Linked DNA regions of Rattus norvegicus. The protein of the gene in region 1 purifies or fractionates together with the protein of each later gene. This does not show direct contact. Links are inferred from orthologs where the notes say so. Each region holds a gene or a part of one and is shown on either strand. Other genes may lie near its edges.

Evidence for each region.
Region 2: the proteins of Sdha (region 1) and Sdhaf2 purify together in Homo sapiens (co-immunoprecipitation; 3 studies listed by BioGRID and IntAct, counting the BioPlex papers as one, with this or other methods). This does not show direct contact. The link is inferred for Rattus norvegicus from reciprocal best matches to the Homo sapiens genes SDHA and SDHAF2.
Region 3: the proteins of Sdha (region 1) and Suclg2 fractionate together in Homo sapiens (co-fractionation; 3 studies listed by BioGRID, with this or other methods). This does not show direct contact. The link is inferred for Rattus norvegicus from reciprocal best matches to the Homo sapiens genes SDHA and SUCLG2.

What each region holds. Positions count from the first base shown.
Region 1 is NC_086019.1:30,777,143-30,782,092, forward strand, and holds part of Sdha (succinate dehydrogenase [ubiquinone] flavoprotein subunit, mitochondrial precursor), read left to right. Parts: intron 1-2,292; coding exon 2,293-2,417; intron 2,418-3,599; coding exon 3,600-3,768; intron 3,769-4,463; coding exon 4,464-4,659; intron 4,660-4,950. UniProt on the Homo sapiens protein: Flavoprotein (FP) subunit of succinate dehydrogenase (SDH) that is involved in complex II of the mitochondrial electron transport chain and is responsible for transferring electrons from succinate to ubiquinone (coenzyme Q).
Region 2 is NC_086019.1:216,589,351-216,594,886, reverse strand, and holds the start of Sdhaf2 (succinate dehydrogenase assembly factor 2, mitochondrial precursor), read left to right. Parts: upstream 1-2,218; 5' UTR 2,219-2,268; coding exon 2,269-2,304; exon of another isoform or gene 2,305-2,454; coding exon of another isoform or gene 2,455-2,460; intron 2,461-2,539; exon of another isoform or gene 2,540-2,690; intron 2,691-5,536. Other genes in the region: Cpsf7 (cleavage and polyadenylation specificity factor subunit 7), read right to left, coding at 1,295-1,348.
Region 3 is NC_086022.1:129,774,681-129,779,630, reverse strand, and holds part of Suclg2 (succinate--CoA ligase [GDP-forming] subunit beta, mitochondrial), read left to right. Parts: intron 1-1,746; coding exon 1,747-1,846; intron 1,847-2,714; coding exon 2,715-2,805; intron 2,806-4,950. UniProt on the Homo sapiens protein: GTP-specific succinyl-CoA synthetase functions in the citric acid cycle (TCA), coupling the hydrolysis of succinyl-CoA to the synthesis of GTP and thus represents the only step of substrate-level phosphorylation in the TCA.

The DNA.
Region 1 (4,950 bases):
AGCTCTCGTAGTTACTGTACTTCTAAGTTATTTGATAAAAGCCATGGCCAAGGCAACCTATAAAAGAAAATGTTAAATCTAACCTCCAGTTTCAGAGGACAAGAATCTGTGACGATGGAGTGAAAGAGCTAAGAGCTCAGTCTTGATCTAGTACCACGAGGCAGAGAGGATCTGGAGTCTTCTGAGACATCAAAGTGGCACCTTCTCAAACAGTTCCACTAGGCGGGGACTAAGTATTTAAATGTATGAGCTTATGGGGGCCGCTTTTAATCAAACCAGCATACTGGGTAAAAGCAGTTGCCATACAAGTCTGGCAGTTTCCTGAGTAGGAGAACAGATAAAGTCCTTAACGTTTTCCTCTGACTCCCATATTCACGCCATGGCAGTGCCTGTTTTGTTTTGTTTTTTCTTAAAACAATGGGCGGAGAAATGGCTCAGTATTAAGAGCTGCTACTCTGGCAGAGGACCTAAGTTCTGGTCCCAGCATTCAGTTCAGAAGGCTCACAACACCCTGGAACTCCAGCTTTGAGGTAGCCATTTTGGGCATTGACACACATGTTGCATAACTCACACAGACACACAAACATAAAATCTTAAAAAAAAAAAATTAAGGTATAGCGAAAAGTGCCCTAAAAGTCTAAAGGTAAATTGATGGTTACTATGGAAGCGCCTCACAAAACTAAGGAAGACTGAGGAGAGGTCTGAGCAGACAAGGTACTTGCCGCCTCCATATGAGAATCCGACCTTGGATGCCCAGATCCCACGTAAAACTGAGCAAGTGTAGTCCTGTGTGCGTTCCATGACTTGGGAGGCAGAGTAGGGACTCTCCAGCCTATGCTGCCTAGAGACACTAGCCAGCTAGTTGACAAGCTCTTGGAGTCAATAAAATGTAGTGCAATCAAGAAAGACACCCATTGTCATCATCAGGCCCACACACAAACTCTCATACCTGAAGCCAGAAGAGTGAAACTTAACATGGCGTGGCAGTCCCACCATAGCTGTCTATGGGAAGGGGATGAAGTCAGCATAATCACGTCATGAATAGACCACCTATGCAAATGTTTGAGGTAGTACTCACCATGACCAGACTGTGTTACTGTAACCAAAACAACATGCAGGGAAAGGGTTATTTTGGCTAATGTTTTCAGTGGGTTCAGTCCACGGAACATGGATTGATGTGTTTGAGCAGGACAAGTATATCATGGGAGACAGCTTCATGGCAAAAAGACTGTATATGTTCCTAAGGACATGCCTTGAGAGATCTGCTTGCTCCAATAAAGCCCCATGTCTTAAAGGCTTCACAATCTCCCAATAATGCAGTAGCCATAGACCAAGCCTTTTCAACGTACTTTCGTACGTTGGGGACATTTATATTCAAATAAAAACAATCTTAGTCTGAGACGAGCCGTTTCTGAAATCTAATAACATGTTAGCTGTAGTAATAATACAGTTGCCAAGAGTCTTAAGTGCCCACCCCACGAAGCAAGGATAATTATGCAGTTATGTGTTAATGAAATTGGTTACCAGTGTACATTATCTGATCATATGGACTTCTTACAAGTTATGTGTTAATGAAATCGGTTACCAGTGTACATTATCAGATCATATGGACTTCTTACAAATGCATAGTAAAGCTGGGCGAGAAATAGTAAAGGAAAATAACAAATCAACAAACAACACTTTTCATTATGTGGTGATCTGAACGGGAATGGCCCCTATAGACTCCTGTGTTTAAATGCTCGGCCCACAGGGAGTGGCACTATTAGGAGGTGTGGCCGATGTCACTATGTGGGCAGGCTTAGAGGTTTCTTGTACGCCAGCTAGACCTAGTGTGGCAGTGTCCTTTTGCTGCCTGTAGATGAAGATGTAGATCTCGGCTCCTTCTCCAGCACCGTGTCTGCCTGAGCGCTGCCATGCTTCCCACCATGATGACAATGGACTGGAACTCGGAAGCCAGCTCCAATGTTTCCTTTAGAAGAGCTGCCGTGGTCATGTTGTCTCTTCACAGCAGTGAAACCCTAAGACTCATTATAAAAGTTATATATCCATATCAGGAAAATTCTTTGAAGATAAAGCACAGAGTACCAAAATACAAAAACACAGCATTTCCCTGCTCTGTCTCCCAGCGTCCAGCCCATAGCAGCGTCACAAATGTGGCCTCCCAGTACTGCGTGCCATGTATCCAAGTACATTACAAGCAAGGGGTCGTTAGAGGTTGGGGCTCCAGAGGCTGCACTACATAAGAAGAGGTTTGGTGGACTGACGCTTACACTCACTGTTCTCTGTTTTCAGGGGCTATGGGCGAACCTACTTCAGCTGTACTTCTGCCCACACCAGCACAGGGGACGGCACAGCCATGGTCACTCGGGCTGGTTTACCTTGCCAGGACTTAGAATTTGTTCAGTTCCACCCCACAGGTAGGACAGAGCCTGTGTGGCTCTGGGCTCTTCTGTGTATTGTAAGCATGCAACACCTATTAATTGCTTTGGGGTTCACGTCTCCCTCCTTGAGTCCTCACGGAGGGCTTTCTCCTGGGTCCATAGAGGCAGTTCATGATAGATTCTGGGTTCAGGGTTTAGGTACTTGTGGTAAGCGGGATGTGAAGTTTGAACAGAGCAGACTGCAGCTGATGCCAAAGTTAGGGTTTGGATTTGGAAGAGAAAGAGCTAGTTGTGGGAGAAATTAGCTCTTCCTGTCAGAGGAAAGAGATGAGCAAAGATAGAATAAAAAGTGAGTTAGTTGTCTGTCTTCAATTTCTGTCTGGTGTCCCCAAGCCTCTGGATTGCCCCTCATGTGCTGTGATTAGCACTCCATTTTTTATGCTTTCTTTTCAACTTATAAGAAATAAACAACCTAACAGATGTTACTGAAGCTGTGAAAAGTGAAAAGCACTTTTAGAGCATGTAACCTTTTGGGCATATAAAAGGAAAGTTAGCGTTAAATAACCCTTAATTAGCGTCTTCCCTTAAAACTCAGTGTGTGGCATTCCTTGTTTTTCCTCACACTGAAGGACACAAAATTATATTAAGAACCTTCATCGTGCTCCTCTGGTTTGAATGTGGGCTTTGCCCTTTAATAGCTCTGTGACTTAAATGAGTTACTTTTTTTTTTTTTTTTTTGCCTCTGAGGAGAGACTTCTTAGTACCTGGGGCCATCATAGACCTGAAATGAGTGAATTTTTAGACTTGATACAAACATAAATATTAACCACTAAAATAATTTTCGCTCTTTGGGTACTTAAGATAGAAATTCCCTAGGCTGTCTTATTCCTGCTTAAATTTGTTGCCACATTTCTTGGTATAAAGATATATTTAAAGAAACTAAGTCTACTAAGCATAGATGATGTTTAATCAGAGTATGGGTTAGATCCTGTGAATGAGCTGCTGTTGGTGGATCTCTTGTGCTTTCTAGTTTGTCTCTGCTGCTTCGAACACACATTCCTCCTCCTACTTGACTTTTCTTCTTATTTTGAATTTAACATTCTTTGTGTTTCCTTTCCTTTTCTCCCAAAAAGTCACTTCTAAAAAAGGATTAACCGTTTGGAGTGGTTGCCTAGTCCTCATTCATTCATAAACATTTAGTCACCTGGGTTCTTACAGGTATCTATGGTGCTGGCTGCCTCATCACAGAAGGGTGCCGTGGAGAGGGAGGCATTCTCATCAACAGCCAAGGCGAAAGGTTCATGGAGAGATATGCCCCTGTTGCCAAGGACCTAGCATCAAGAGATGTTGTGTCTCGATCCATGACTCTCGAGATCCGTGAAGGAAGGTTTGTAATTCCCCTCCAGGGATGCGGGAGTTGTAGGCAGGTGGATAAACGTGTCCTCTTTCTCTTTGGAAGCCATTAGGTCACAGCTATATATTTTAGTACTTTAACTTTTGCAGACAGGTACCCTACCCTCAGGGTTAAGGTTAGAGAATAAAGCTACTCCATTATTTTGACAAGCATGTTAGTTTATGGTATATCCTGTCTTCTTCACATCAGCTTGTAAACATATCCTCGTGTATTCTTGGTGTGAGGGTGAGACTCACAGCCTTAGGAGTCACCACAGGCGTCTCGGCAGGTGCTCTTCAGGGCTTGTGTGTCACTTCTCTTTCAGTAAAATTGCCTCAGGTTCCTAGTGCCTGGCTTTACTCTAGGGACTTAATATGGGTTTGACACTTTAATTTAAAACTTCGAAGTCTGAAACTTTCTAGTACATTTACCAAGGAAAACAGGAAATCATGATACCCAAGGCAAGGATGTAAGATTGGTGAGTATAGGCTTCTAATTTTTGGCTTGTCCTTGTACAGAAGTATCCCTGACACACTATGATTAAAAAATACTTGAAGGAAAAAAGGTATCAATGGGACACTGACCATAGATGAAGGTGAAGTTTCCCTCAAGATCAAGATTGTCAGGCTCACCTAGTGGCTGTCCAGCTTCCTTCCTGTCACTGCTTCACGCTCAGTGTTGCTTTGCAGAGGCTGTGGCCCTGAGAAGGATCACGTCTACCTGCAGTTGCACCATCTGCCCCCTGAGCAGCTGGCCACGCGTCTGCCTGGGATCTCAGAGACGGCCATGATCTTCGCCGGCGTGGATGTCACCAAGGAGCCCATTCCAGTCCTTCCCACTGTGCATTACAACATGGGCGGGATTCCCACTAACTACAAGGGACAGGTGATAGTGACGAGGCTACTTCACAAAAATCCCTTTAGAGCTTAGATGCATAGAAACAACAACGCAGTGTATTTGATAGTTTAATATTAATTATAAAATGTCATACCTGCCAGGCAGTGAGAGGCTAGGTTATGTTCTTGAATGTGCATCTGCTTGGGAATAACAGGTAGAATGTTATTTCCCCTCTACCTGTAATCCTGTGCACTGTTTCCATTTTACCTGTAATCCTGTGCACTGTTTCCATTTTACCTGTAATCCTGTGCACTGTTTCCATTTTACCTGTAATCCTGT
Region 2 (5,536 bases), about 190 Mb from region 1:
AAGTACCACCAAAGTGTGGATGTTTCAGTCCTTAGAAGGGGGAACAAAAATATTCATAGGAGTGGATATGGAGACAAAGTTTGGAGCAGAGACTGAAGGAATGGCCATTCAGAGCCTGCCCCACCTGGGGATCCAGTCCATATACATACAGCCACCAACCCAGACAATATTGCTGATGCCAAGAAGTGCATGCTGACAGGAGCCTGATATAGCTGTCTCCTGAGAAGCTCTGCCAGAACATGACAAATACAGAGGAGGATCCTCATAGCCAACCACTGAACTGAGATATGGAGGAATTAGAGGAAGGATTGAAGGAGCTTGCACCCCATAAGAACATTAACAACCAATCAGAATTCCCAGGGACTAAATCACTACCCAAAGAGTCCACATTCCCAGTGTAGGGGAATGTCAGGGAGGCGGGAAGGGGTGGGTGGGTGAGGGAACACCCTCACAGAAGAAGGGAGAAGGGGGATGGGATAGGTGGTTTATGGACAGGAAACTGGGAAAGGGGATAACATTTGAAATGTAAATTTAAAAAATCCAACAAAAAATATAACTAAAATTTAAAAAAGATAAAAGTTTTAAATAGAAACTTTTCGTTGAGCTTTGACCTCAAGATCAAAGAACTCAACCTCATAGATTACTTTTTAAGGTGACATTTAAAATGTAAAAACACAAATTCAAACTAGGATGACCAAATCTTTGACTTGCCTTTAAACTAGTTTTATCCAATGGTTTTTACCTTCCTTCCCATCCATACCAAAATGCCCACAGAATTCTCAGTCAAGCGATTTAAAAAGATTGAAAACACCTGGAGTGGAGCTAGAACTCCCATCTTTAACGCAGTTGATATACCGTCTTTCAAAGTTATCTCTCGTACTGTCTATACCATTGGGAGGGGACAAGAAGGGGGAGGGACTAACATGCTGGAGCCGCAAGCTGAAAGAACTGCAAAGTAACAAGTATCAAAATTATCCCCGCAATACTGCAACAAATGTAATTTTCATTTTTAATTATGGTTACTCATCCAACTTTGGAATGACTTGGGGAAACAATTCCACAGGCTGATTCACCATTCTATTACACTTGGGTTTTTATTTGCTCTTAAAGCAAACCCTTTAAAATTGAAGCCTGGAGGTTCAAATTAACATAAAGAGGAATGGTCAGTCGTCTTCAAAGTCTCCGCTAGGGGGAAACGCTTCGATACTAAAAGGAATTATTTTGTGGTGAGAGAGAAACCACTGTCAGTAGATTTGACCGAAGAAAACCCAAAACTGCTGCTAATTCCTCTCACCTGATTGAACTCTTCATCAGCGTATATATCAATCAAATCCACTCCTTCTGACATGGCTCCGGAAACACGCTCTCGAGCCCGGAGAACGGACAAAGTAAGAAAGATGCCACTACGGTATTCAGAAAAGGGTAAAAAATTTTAAGACACAAGGGTCCCAGGCTGGGAGGAGGGCAAGGGTCAACAACCTCTAGTCTCCCGAGAGGCAGCATCCCGGCAGCCCCGAGCCTGGCCCCACCCGCTCCGCCCCGCCCCCAGCCTCGCGCCGCCCCCTGCTCTCCCAGGCCGCTCGGGCTCGCGGGGCTCGCTGCCCATCACCCGCGGGCCCGACCGGAGATGCGCCGAGTCGGCGCCCGTAGCTGCCTATGGCGCCACTGCCAAGTCCAGGCAGGCCTCGACTCTTGAGAGGGCCCTCGGGCCGCGCTGTGAAGAACCACTGCGACCAACGCCGCAAGCTCAGCCCGTCGCACCTGCTAGACCCAGGGGGCGTCCCAAGCCGGAGCCCCCTGCGGGCCCGGAAGCTCCCGCCGCCTCCACTCCAACCCGGCCCGGTCCTCGCTCTCGGCTAGGCCTGCCCTGCTCCCTCCCACAGCTCCAGGATCTCAGCCCCTCCCTCAGAGGCCCGCGCTTCCCTCCACCCGCCGTCTTCCGCCGCCGCCACCCCAACCGACCCCCTCCCCTCCGCGGCGCCAGCCCCGGCCCTCCTTCCGGCCCCGCCGGCCCCCGGCCGCGCGCCCCCGTTACCGGGAATATGGCGGCGGCCGCGGAGAGTCCCGACTAGGCCCGAAGCGCGCGAACCGCTCTCCGCCCCAGGTCCCGCCCCCCCTACCGGCGGCGTCACACGCACCACTACTTCCGCCATACGCTGGGACGCGCCTTCCGGCTTGGGGTCCACCTCCACGGGTGAAGTCCTTAGATCGGCCGCCCGGAGTTCCCGGAAGAGGGTCGGTTGCTAGCTTCCTGTACTATAGGGAGAAATGGCGGTGGTCACCTTGATCCCGACGCTGGCGCGGGTGAGAGAGCCGAAGATTTAGGGTTCGGGGCGGGCGGCAGCTAGGACTGTTTCGTCCTCCTCTGTGCCGTGAAGACTGTAGGGAGAATTCACCCATCCCACAGAACCAGGGAAAGGTCCCCTCAAGGCGAGGCGCATACTGCCGCTGAGCATGCAGGTCATTTTCCATTGGTTACTTAGCCCACGGTGTGTTCGAGTGAGAATACTGGATACTATGTAGTTAAGTGGCCAGTTACCATACGAGACTCAAGGCATATCTCACTTATGTCTCCAGGAAGAGTTACCGAACCTCCCCCGAAAGCCTCCTTTTTTTTTTTTTTTTTTTTTTTTTTTTTTGGTTCTTTTTTTCGGAGCTGGGGACCGAACCCAGGGTCTTGCGCTTCCTAGGTAAGCGCTCTACCACTGAGCTAAATCCCCAACCCCCGTCTCCCTTTTTTAAAAGCCGGTTTTAATTTGTTACTCAGGCTGGCCTGAAGCTCGCCATTCTGTCTCATCCTGATCTTAAATGTCTGTATGTTTGAGAATTTTCAGGTTTTATTCCAGTAGTGTTGAAAGCTAGTTGATATGGTTTATCTTAAACTTATCGACATGTGAGCTCCTGGGCATATTCATCCGTACATTTGAGAGGAATGTATGCTCTCTTGTGTGGAATGTCTGTATACCTCAGCTAGATATACTTAAATTAGTATTGTTCTGGTTGTCTAATATTGATTCCCCCATCTGGATGTTCTATTCCTTATTAAATTGTGGCATTAAAATCTTTGTTTTCACCCCCTTCAGTTCTGTCAGGGTCTCTTTCATATATTTGAGTGCTCTATTAGGTCCACATGTATTTATGATTTTCATTCTTTCTTGCTAACTCTTTAATATATATAATATTCTTTATCTCATATGACAATTTTGTTGTTGGTGCTAAATGCCAAACCCAGAGCCTTGCATGCTAGGCAATTTCATTTTCTTTCTTTATTCATTTTTTTTAAGTTTAAAAAATATGTATTTATGTTTATGTGCCTTTGTGAGTTATGCCCGTGTGTGTAGGTGGCCATGAAGGCCAGATGAGGGTGTTGGGTTTTCTGGAATTGGAGTTACAGGTGGTTTTAAGTGTGTGTGTACAGGTACCACTGAAGCTAAAGAGGGTGCTAGGTGCCCTAGAGTGGGGGAGGGGGATAGGAAGAGTGGGGGCTGGCCTTGTATAGTTTCAGAGGCTTTCTGAAGCCTTTAAGTTGTTTGCTTCCTGAGCTTAAGGAGCATTCCTGTAGGACGGAATATATTTATTACCGTTCTTTAGAGCATCCTATGTATTGGCTGGGTATAGTAGAATAAGGCAGGAGGGTCTCTGAGTTCAAGACCAGCCTGATCTAGATGTCAAGTTCTAGGTCAGCTAGGGCTTTATAAGAAGGAGGAGGAGGAGGAGAGGAAAAAGGAAGAGGAGGGGGAGAAAAAAAAAGAGGAGGGGGAGGAGGAGGATTTTATCTTGGAGGAAATTGCTACACAACACCTATCATGAATGAAAGCCCTGGGTTTGATCTCTAGCATCACATACCACAGAATGTATGGCATGCGTGCCTATAATTCTAGCACTCTGATGTTGGTGGCGGGAGGATGGGAAGTTTAAGGTCATCCTTGGTTCTTTAGCTGGTTCAGGGCCTGCCCATATGCTAGTATGATCAGAAGGGAGCTTGAGACCAGAGAATCCCTGGAAGTTCATAGGCCAGCTAGGCTGGCACACACAACAAGAACAACAAAGAGACTGTCTCAAAGCAAGGTGGAAAGCAAGAACTGGCACCTGAGGTGTTCCTCTCACCTCTCCACATGCACCTATCTTGCACACATAAAGATGTTGTAAAAGTACATTTTCAAGTGCCTTTTCTTAGAGATGCTGGTCCAGAATGCTTAGGCTGTGTGTGGCTTAGGAGACTGCATTTTTACAGCATACTGTATTCATTTACTGGAGCTGCCTTACAATAGAAATTTATATTCTCAAAGTTATGGAGGCCAGAATTCCAGGACAAAGATGCTAGCACCGTTTTCTCTGGTGGTCTCACTCCATGACTTGCAGATAGCCACTTTTCCATTGTGCCCTCATGTGGCTTTATTTGTACCTTCACATTTCTGACTTACTAGACAATTTATGTCTTAGTCAGTCTGGACTTCTTAGGTTTGTGATACTGTTTTTTTTGGGGGGGCTTCTTGAATTTGAATGTCCACTTCTTTTTTCCCAATTTTGGATGTTTCAGTCATTATTTTGTTTGTCTAAAAAGACAGTGCATGCATATGTGTCTGTCTGTGTTCTGGGGATAGAACTTGGCTCCCTAGGCTTGGCAGCAAGCCCCTTTACCTTCCTCTATCAGTTCATAATCAATAACTCCCTAGTGCCAATGTGATGCTACAGTTTCTTTGTAAACACTCGGGTTGTTCAGTGTTGCCTCCCTCCTTCCTGCTCCCCTGTTTATCAGGTACTGTAGCCCCTCAGCTTCATAGTAGTCCTGCTCTTGCCTCACAAGTGCTTGGATTACAGGCATGAGGCACCATGCCCCAGCTGGTTGCTCTGCTTTCTTATTCTTGGTGGCTATCTGGACTTCTTAGAATATGCTGGCTGTGTTAGTGTTGCAAGTTGTTCAAAATAGAAACCAGCCAGTCCCTTGGGCAATGCCAGCCCCCATGTTCCAGAACATTAACCATACAGTTGACTCTTTCTTGAACCATGGGGAAGAGGCTCCTAAACAATACTAGATTTTATCTTACTTTGTCTGCCTTGGTCCTTTGCATCAAAACTAAACACTCCCTTGGTCTCCATGGTCCCTAGGCATCTGGAATGTGCCATGGCCTGTTGTTGCTCTGAGACGAGAGAGATAAAAACCGTAGGCAACCTTTGAGAAGCTGGAGCTTTAGATGGATACCCCAGCTCTGTATCTCCAGGGAAAAGCTGGGAGTTGTGGGATTTTTGTTTTGGTTTTTTCATTCTTCAGTAAGGCAGGATGGGGACCATGGCAAGTGAATGATGTGGTACAAATCATCACCTTTGTTCGCTACAGCTACAGAAACGTGCCCTTTCCTGTAGCACTTAGATTCAGCCAGAGCAGAAGCTGTTTGAATGATATTCCAGGAGTCTTACCTTTCCCTCTCAGGTAGAGGCCTGGTGCTGGGGCTTTCTCCCATCATCTTGTTCTTTGGGGATTTGGGGGAAGACAGGGCTGTGGCATGTGCAGTCCATAGCCTTTCTTATTGGCTTC
Region 3 (4,950 bases), on another chromosome or scaffold:
ACCTTGTTCGAAGCCAGGGATCGGCTGCTGATGGTTCATGTTGATGGCAGAAGCAAGAGTCACAGGCGGGACAAGGCTGTGTTCTAAGAAGGAGCCGTGACTGAGCTGTGACTGTGGGAGGACAGGTTCATGAGAGAGACAGGAGTCCAGCAGGGAGAGCAGCAAATGCACTTTGCAGCTTCAGCCTCAGCATGGGCTGGCTGATCACTTTCTGACCCCAGGCCTTCCATTTGTGCGGTCTTGTTATCGCTCCCCATAGTAAAACCTTTGCGGATCTCTGACCTTCATCCTCTGCCTGATTGACTGTGAGCAGCAATGGCAGTGACTTCTAACTGAAGTGGCCAACCACTCAGACAGCTCAGCATGAATTACCGGAGTTATTATTTTTAAAGCGTTCGTCCCTTTGTTTGAATATTTAGAGTGCGCATGCGTGGGAGTGTAGCTGAGTGAGTGGACTCGCTGCTGGGTGTTTTTCTCAGTCAGTCCCCATCTTACTTGAGACAGTTCTCTCAGAGAGCCTGGAGATCACCGATTCAGAGAGGCTGGCCAGCAGCTGCACTCCAGGCGCTTCCTGTCTTTCCTTCCCCAGCATGGGACAGCAAGCTTGTGCTGCCCTCTTACATGGTTTATGTGGGTGCTAGGGATCCGAACTCAGGTCCTTATGCTTACAAGCAAGCACTTTAACCACTAAGCCACCTCCCTCCCAGCTCTTTTTCCTCTGGTCCTTAAAACAATCCAGACTGTTGTTTCAAATAGTAAACTGAGTCCCAGAGGCAGAACAGAAAACTATGGCAGCCTAATAGAAGATGATTTAGTTCTCTAATTTCAATAAAGACGACACACAAACGCGAGGTCAGCCGTGGTCTGGGATGTGTGCGGGGTTGTTGTTTGGTGGTGGTGGTTGTTGTCGTGTGGTTGTTTTTTGTTTTTTGTTTTTTTAACATATTTGGTTTGGACCATCCCTTCCCCCCAGATAGGGAAAGGGAGCTCTTGCTTGCTAGAGACCCCATTTATCACTAGGTGACTCTCACCCCACTTCCCTGCCAGGCCTGTAGACAGGTTTGAGTTTATAATTGTGGTCTAAAAGGTCAGAAGCAGAGTGTTTATTCTTTCTTTGCATGAGCCGAGAAACAAATATTCCCAAACCCCTTTTCCCCCTAGGAGATTTTTTCATTTTGCCAATACTTTATAAAAAAATATTGCTTGCTTTTAGTTTTAATTCATTTCCTTCCTTCTTGGCCATCCCTGTCAATATATAGAGCAACTACTCAGAACACTGTTAGTTTCCAGGAATACGGTTATTAAAGTCAGCCTTTGTGTCTTGTCTGTAAACCCTTTCCATACCCAGTCCCATCATCTCCCTCTGACATCTCACAGCTCACAGTCAGATCCTCTGCTACATGGGAGCATCATGACACAGTAAAAGTCACACCACCTCCTGGATTTCTTTAGCACCTTCTAGCACTCTCAGAAGGCAAGGGAACAAGAGCCTGGCTTCCTCCATATGTGTGCCTGCCTGTCAGGTGCCTACACAGATGGGATGTGTTTGACTGTCCTCAGGAAACAAGCTTCCTTAATTATTTGGAAGTTTCTCATTGCCTTTATTTTGAAAGTTGATTTAGGAGCTCTTTTAGTAGTCATGTGTAAGTTCTATCCTGTTATTGCTTTTTATTCCTGCCCCTTTAAAGAAGAGATGAAGAAAGGAAAGGATTTCAAACAACTACTGTCTGGATTTTTCTTTTTCAGATGCAAAGGAAATTGTTTTAAAAGCCCAGATCTTAGCTGGAGGAAGAGGAAAAGGTGTCTTCGATAGCGGTTTGAAAGGAGGTGTTCATTTAACAAAAGAGTAAGTCTGAATGGTTTAGGTCCATATCCTGATCGTGACTGAAAGGATTCTTGAGCAGGAGGTCTAGGGCTGGGGCCAGTGTGCGATACAGAGAGGAAATGGAGACTCTGGCAGGGCTGTGGCCTTGCCCCAGGCCTTCTGTCCCTCATTAGAGGGTTTTGTATCCTGCACTGAGTAGGGCTATACTTCCTCTCTCCCAGACAATCTGTGATTCATCCTAAAAGCGGGAAATAACACGGCTTGCAACTGGAATAATGTTCCCTTCATCTCATTTCCATAAGTACTATTCTGTGGTTCCTGTGACCAGTGGAGTCTTTGTGGCGTCTGGGCTGATAGTTTACGCCTGCCTGTGTCTGAGCATCTTTCCAGCATCTGCCCCACACCAAGCCTTTCCTTTCTTCCATCACTGTCTTCTCATTGATTGTGGTCCATGTTTTCCCTCTCATTGTTTACTGTTTCCCAGATCATCCATTATCAGTTTCGATCTAAGTCGGTTATGCACCAGTATTGTCTCTTTACACATTTGTTTGGGGGTGGGGGGGGGTAGTAGAGTTCAGCATCCCTTCACTCATTCACTCATTCCTTCATCTGCATTTGGCTTTCAGTGTGCCTTCAGGAAGCACTAGACAATTAGAATGTAAAAGGAAAGATATGCAGTCTGTGGGTAGTGGGGCGATGCGGGCTAGGGTGGGTGTGAGGAGGTGGGGTGGCTCAGGTAATCCTGGCCAGTGTGGATATAAGGAGGTGTGGGTGTAAGGAGGTGGGGTGGCGAAGGTGACCCTTGATACTGTGAACCCTGCTATATAGTGATTTGCAATATGTCCTAATTGTTTTTTCTTTGTCATCCCCTCTTTTTTGTCCCTCTTAGCCCTAAAGTGGTGGGACAGCTGGCTCAGCAGATGATTGGTTATAATCTAGCAACAAAACAAACTCCAAAAGAAGGTGTGAAAGTTAACAAGGTAATGTTCTTAGACATTTCGTATGCACTTAAAACGAAAGAAGAGAGAGGTAGACTTGCTCTGACAGGCTCTCCTGAAACACTGTTCTTTGACTACACTGGTTTTGTTTAGGGAGTGCTGTGTCTTGGAAGAAAGACCCTAAGGACTGTGGACATTGGCCATTCACCAGAACCCAGTGAGGTGAATGACCAGGCAGCAGTTTTCCATTCATAGCACAGATGCATCCTGCTTGAAGCTGACAGGGCTTGACAGGGTAGCCTTGCACTCTGTCAGCCTCTCCCTTTTCCCACGTAGGCCCACCTCAGTCCTTTTGATTAGAACTGCCTGTACAGTGGTTTTTCTTAAAAATACCTCATGCTATACTTTAAAGCCACTTACTGCTACAAGTGGATGATTAGTAAAGACTACTAGTAGTAAGCGTGTATGGCATGTGCACCCATGTACATGCATGCATTGGCATGTAGACATACATATGAAGAGGAAGTAAAGCTCAGAGAAAATGGCCTGCCTCTGCTGTGCCACTATGAATGTAGGAGCCAAGTCTGCCTTCCCCTCCCTCCTGTTTCAGCCTTTTGTTCTTCTCTTCATGTGCCAATCAACTGAAGCCCTTTGTTGTGTATGCTGCAGTGCAAAATGAAAACCACGCAGAGGCTCATGTACACAGTGCAAGCTGTGAGCTCCCGAGCAGAGCCCCATGTGTGTCACATGTGGCAGCCCTGAAGACAATATGGCTGGAAAGCGAATCCTAACAGTAAATTGGGCCCCACTTTTTGGCCCTGCTCTGTTGCCATAGCATCAGAGACTTGCAGCCTCTGTCACTCTGCTCTGCTTAGGGGTAACTGAGTGGAACATTCTATTTTTAGTTTTCATAGAACTTTAGAAAGTTCTGGATAAGGCCTTAGAAAGCTTGTGCTTATTAAATCATGGTAGAGTCAATCTTAGCCAAAATAGGGACACTGGAAAACAGAAGATATCCTGAGGAGACATTTGAGTCTTCCTCTGAGCCTCTCAGGCTAGTGAGACAGCACACACTAAGAACTTGGACTCTCCTAAGGAATGTCGGGAAAGGGGAAAGGCTGTAGCCTGCTGTCTCCCAGGAAGGTTTCACACAATCCAGAGAAAACCTGCTAAAACACCCTCAGAAGTGCTTTCATATCATAGCTACTCACACTTCTTGCTCTAAACTCATGTCAGGATCCAAAAGATGGGCTTGGTGTGTGTGTGTGTGTGTGTGTGTGTGTGTGTGTGTGAGAGAGAGAGAGAGAGAGAGAGAGAGAGACACAGAGACAGAGACAGAGGCAGAGAGAGAGAGAGACAGAGACACAGAGACAGAGACAGAGAGAGACACAGAGACAGAGGCAGAGGCAGAGAGAGACACAGAGACAGAGGCAGAGGCAGAGGCAGAGAGAGACACAGAGACAGAGGCAGAGGCAGAGAGAGACACAGAGACAGAGACAGAGACAGAGAGAGACACAGAGACAGAGGCAGAGGCAGAGGCAGAGAGAGACACAGAGACAGAGACAGAGAGAGACAGAGACACAGAGACAGAGACAGAGAGAGACAGAGACACAGAGACAGAGACAGAGAGAGACACAGAGACAGAGAGAGACACAGAGACAGAGACAGAGAGAGACACAGACGCAGAGGCAGAGGCAGAGGCAGAGAGAGACACAGAGGCAGAGGCAGAGGCAGAGGCAGAGGCAGAGACTGGATCTCTTGGGTCCTCTTCCCAGTATGGCACATTAATGACCGTCCTCTGCTTCTCACTGTTGTTTGTTTAATTGGCCTGTTGCGTCTCCCTGCTGAGCGGAACTTGTTAGGACAGCCAGTGCCCAGGATCATCAGAACACAGCTCCAGTAACAGCAGAGCCTTGGGAGTCTGCTAGGTCATCAGCTTCATCTACTAAAACACCCAAGTCCTCTCAAATGCTAAGGAGCAAACCCAAAAGCTGAGTGTTGGTCCGTCTGCCTCTCAGACGCAGGGTTGATTGGCTCCTCCTTCCTGTCCAGACTGGAACTCTGCTTCTATTTCTTTTACGTCTGATGATGAGCTGTCACCCGCATAACTTACTCAGAACTTGTCCATAGCATAATAAGCACTGTGTTTGTAGGGAATTGCTATTTTATGTGGACACATGGGACTGT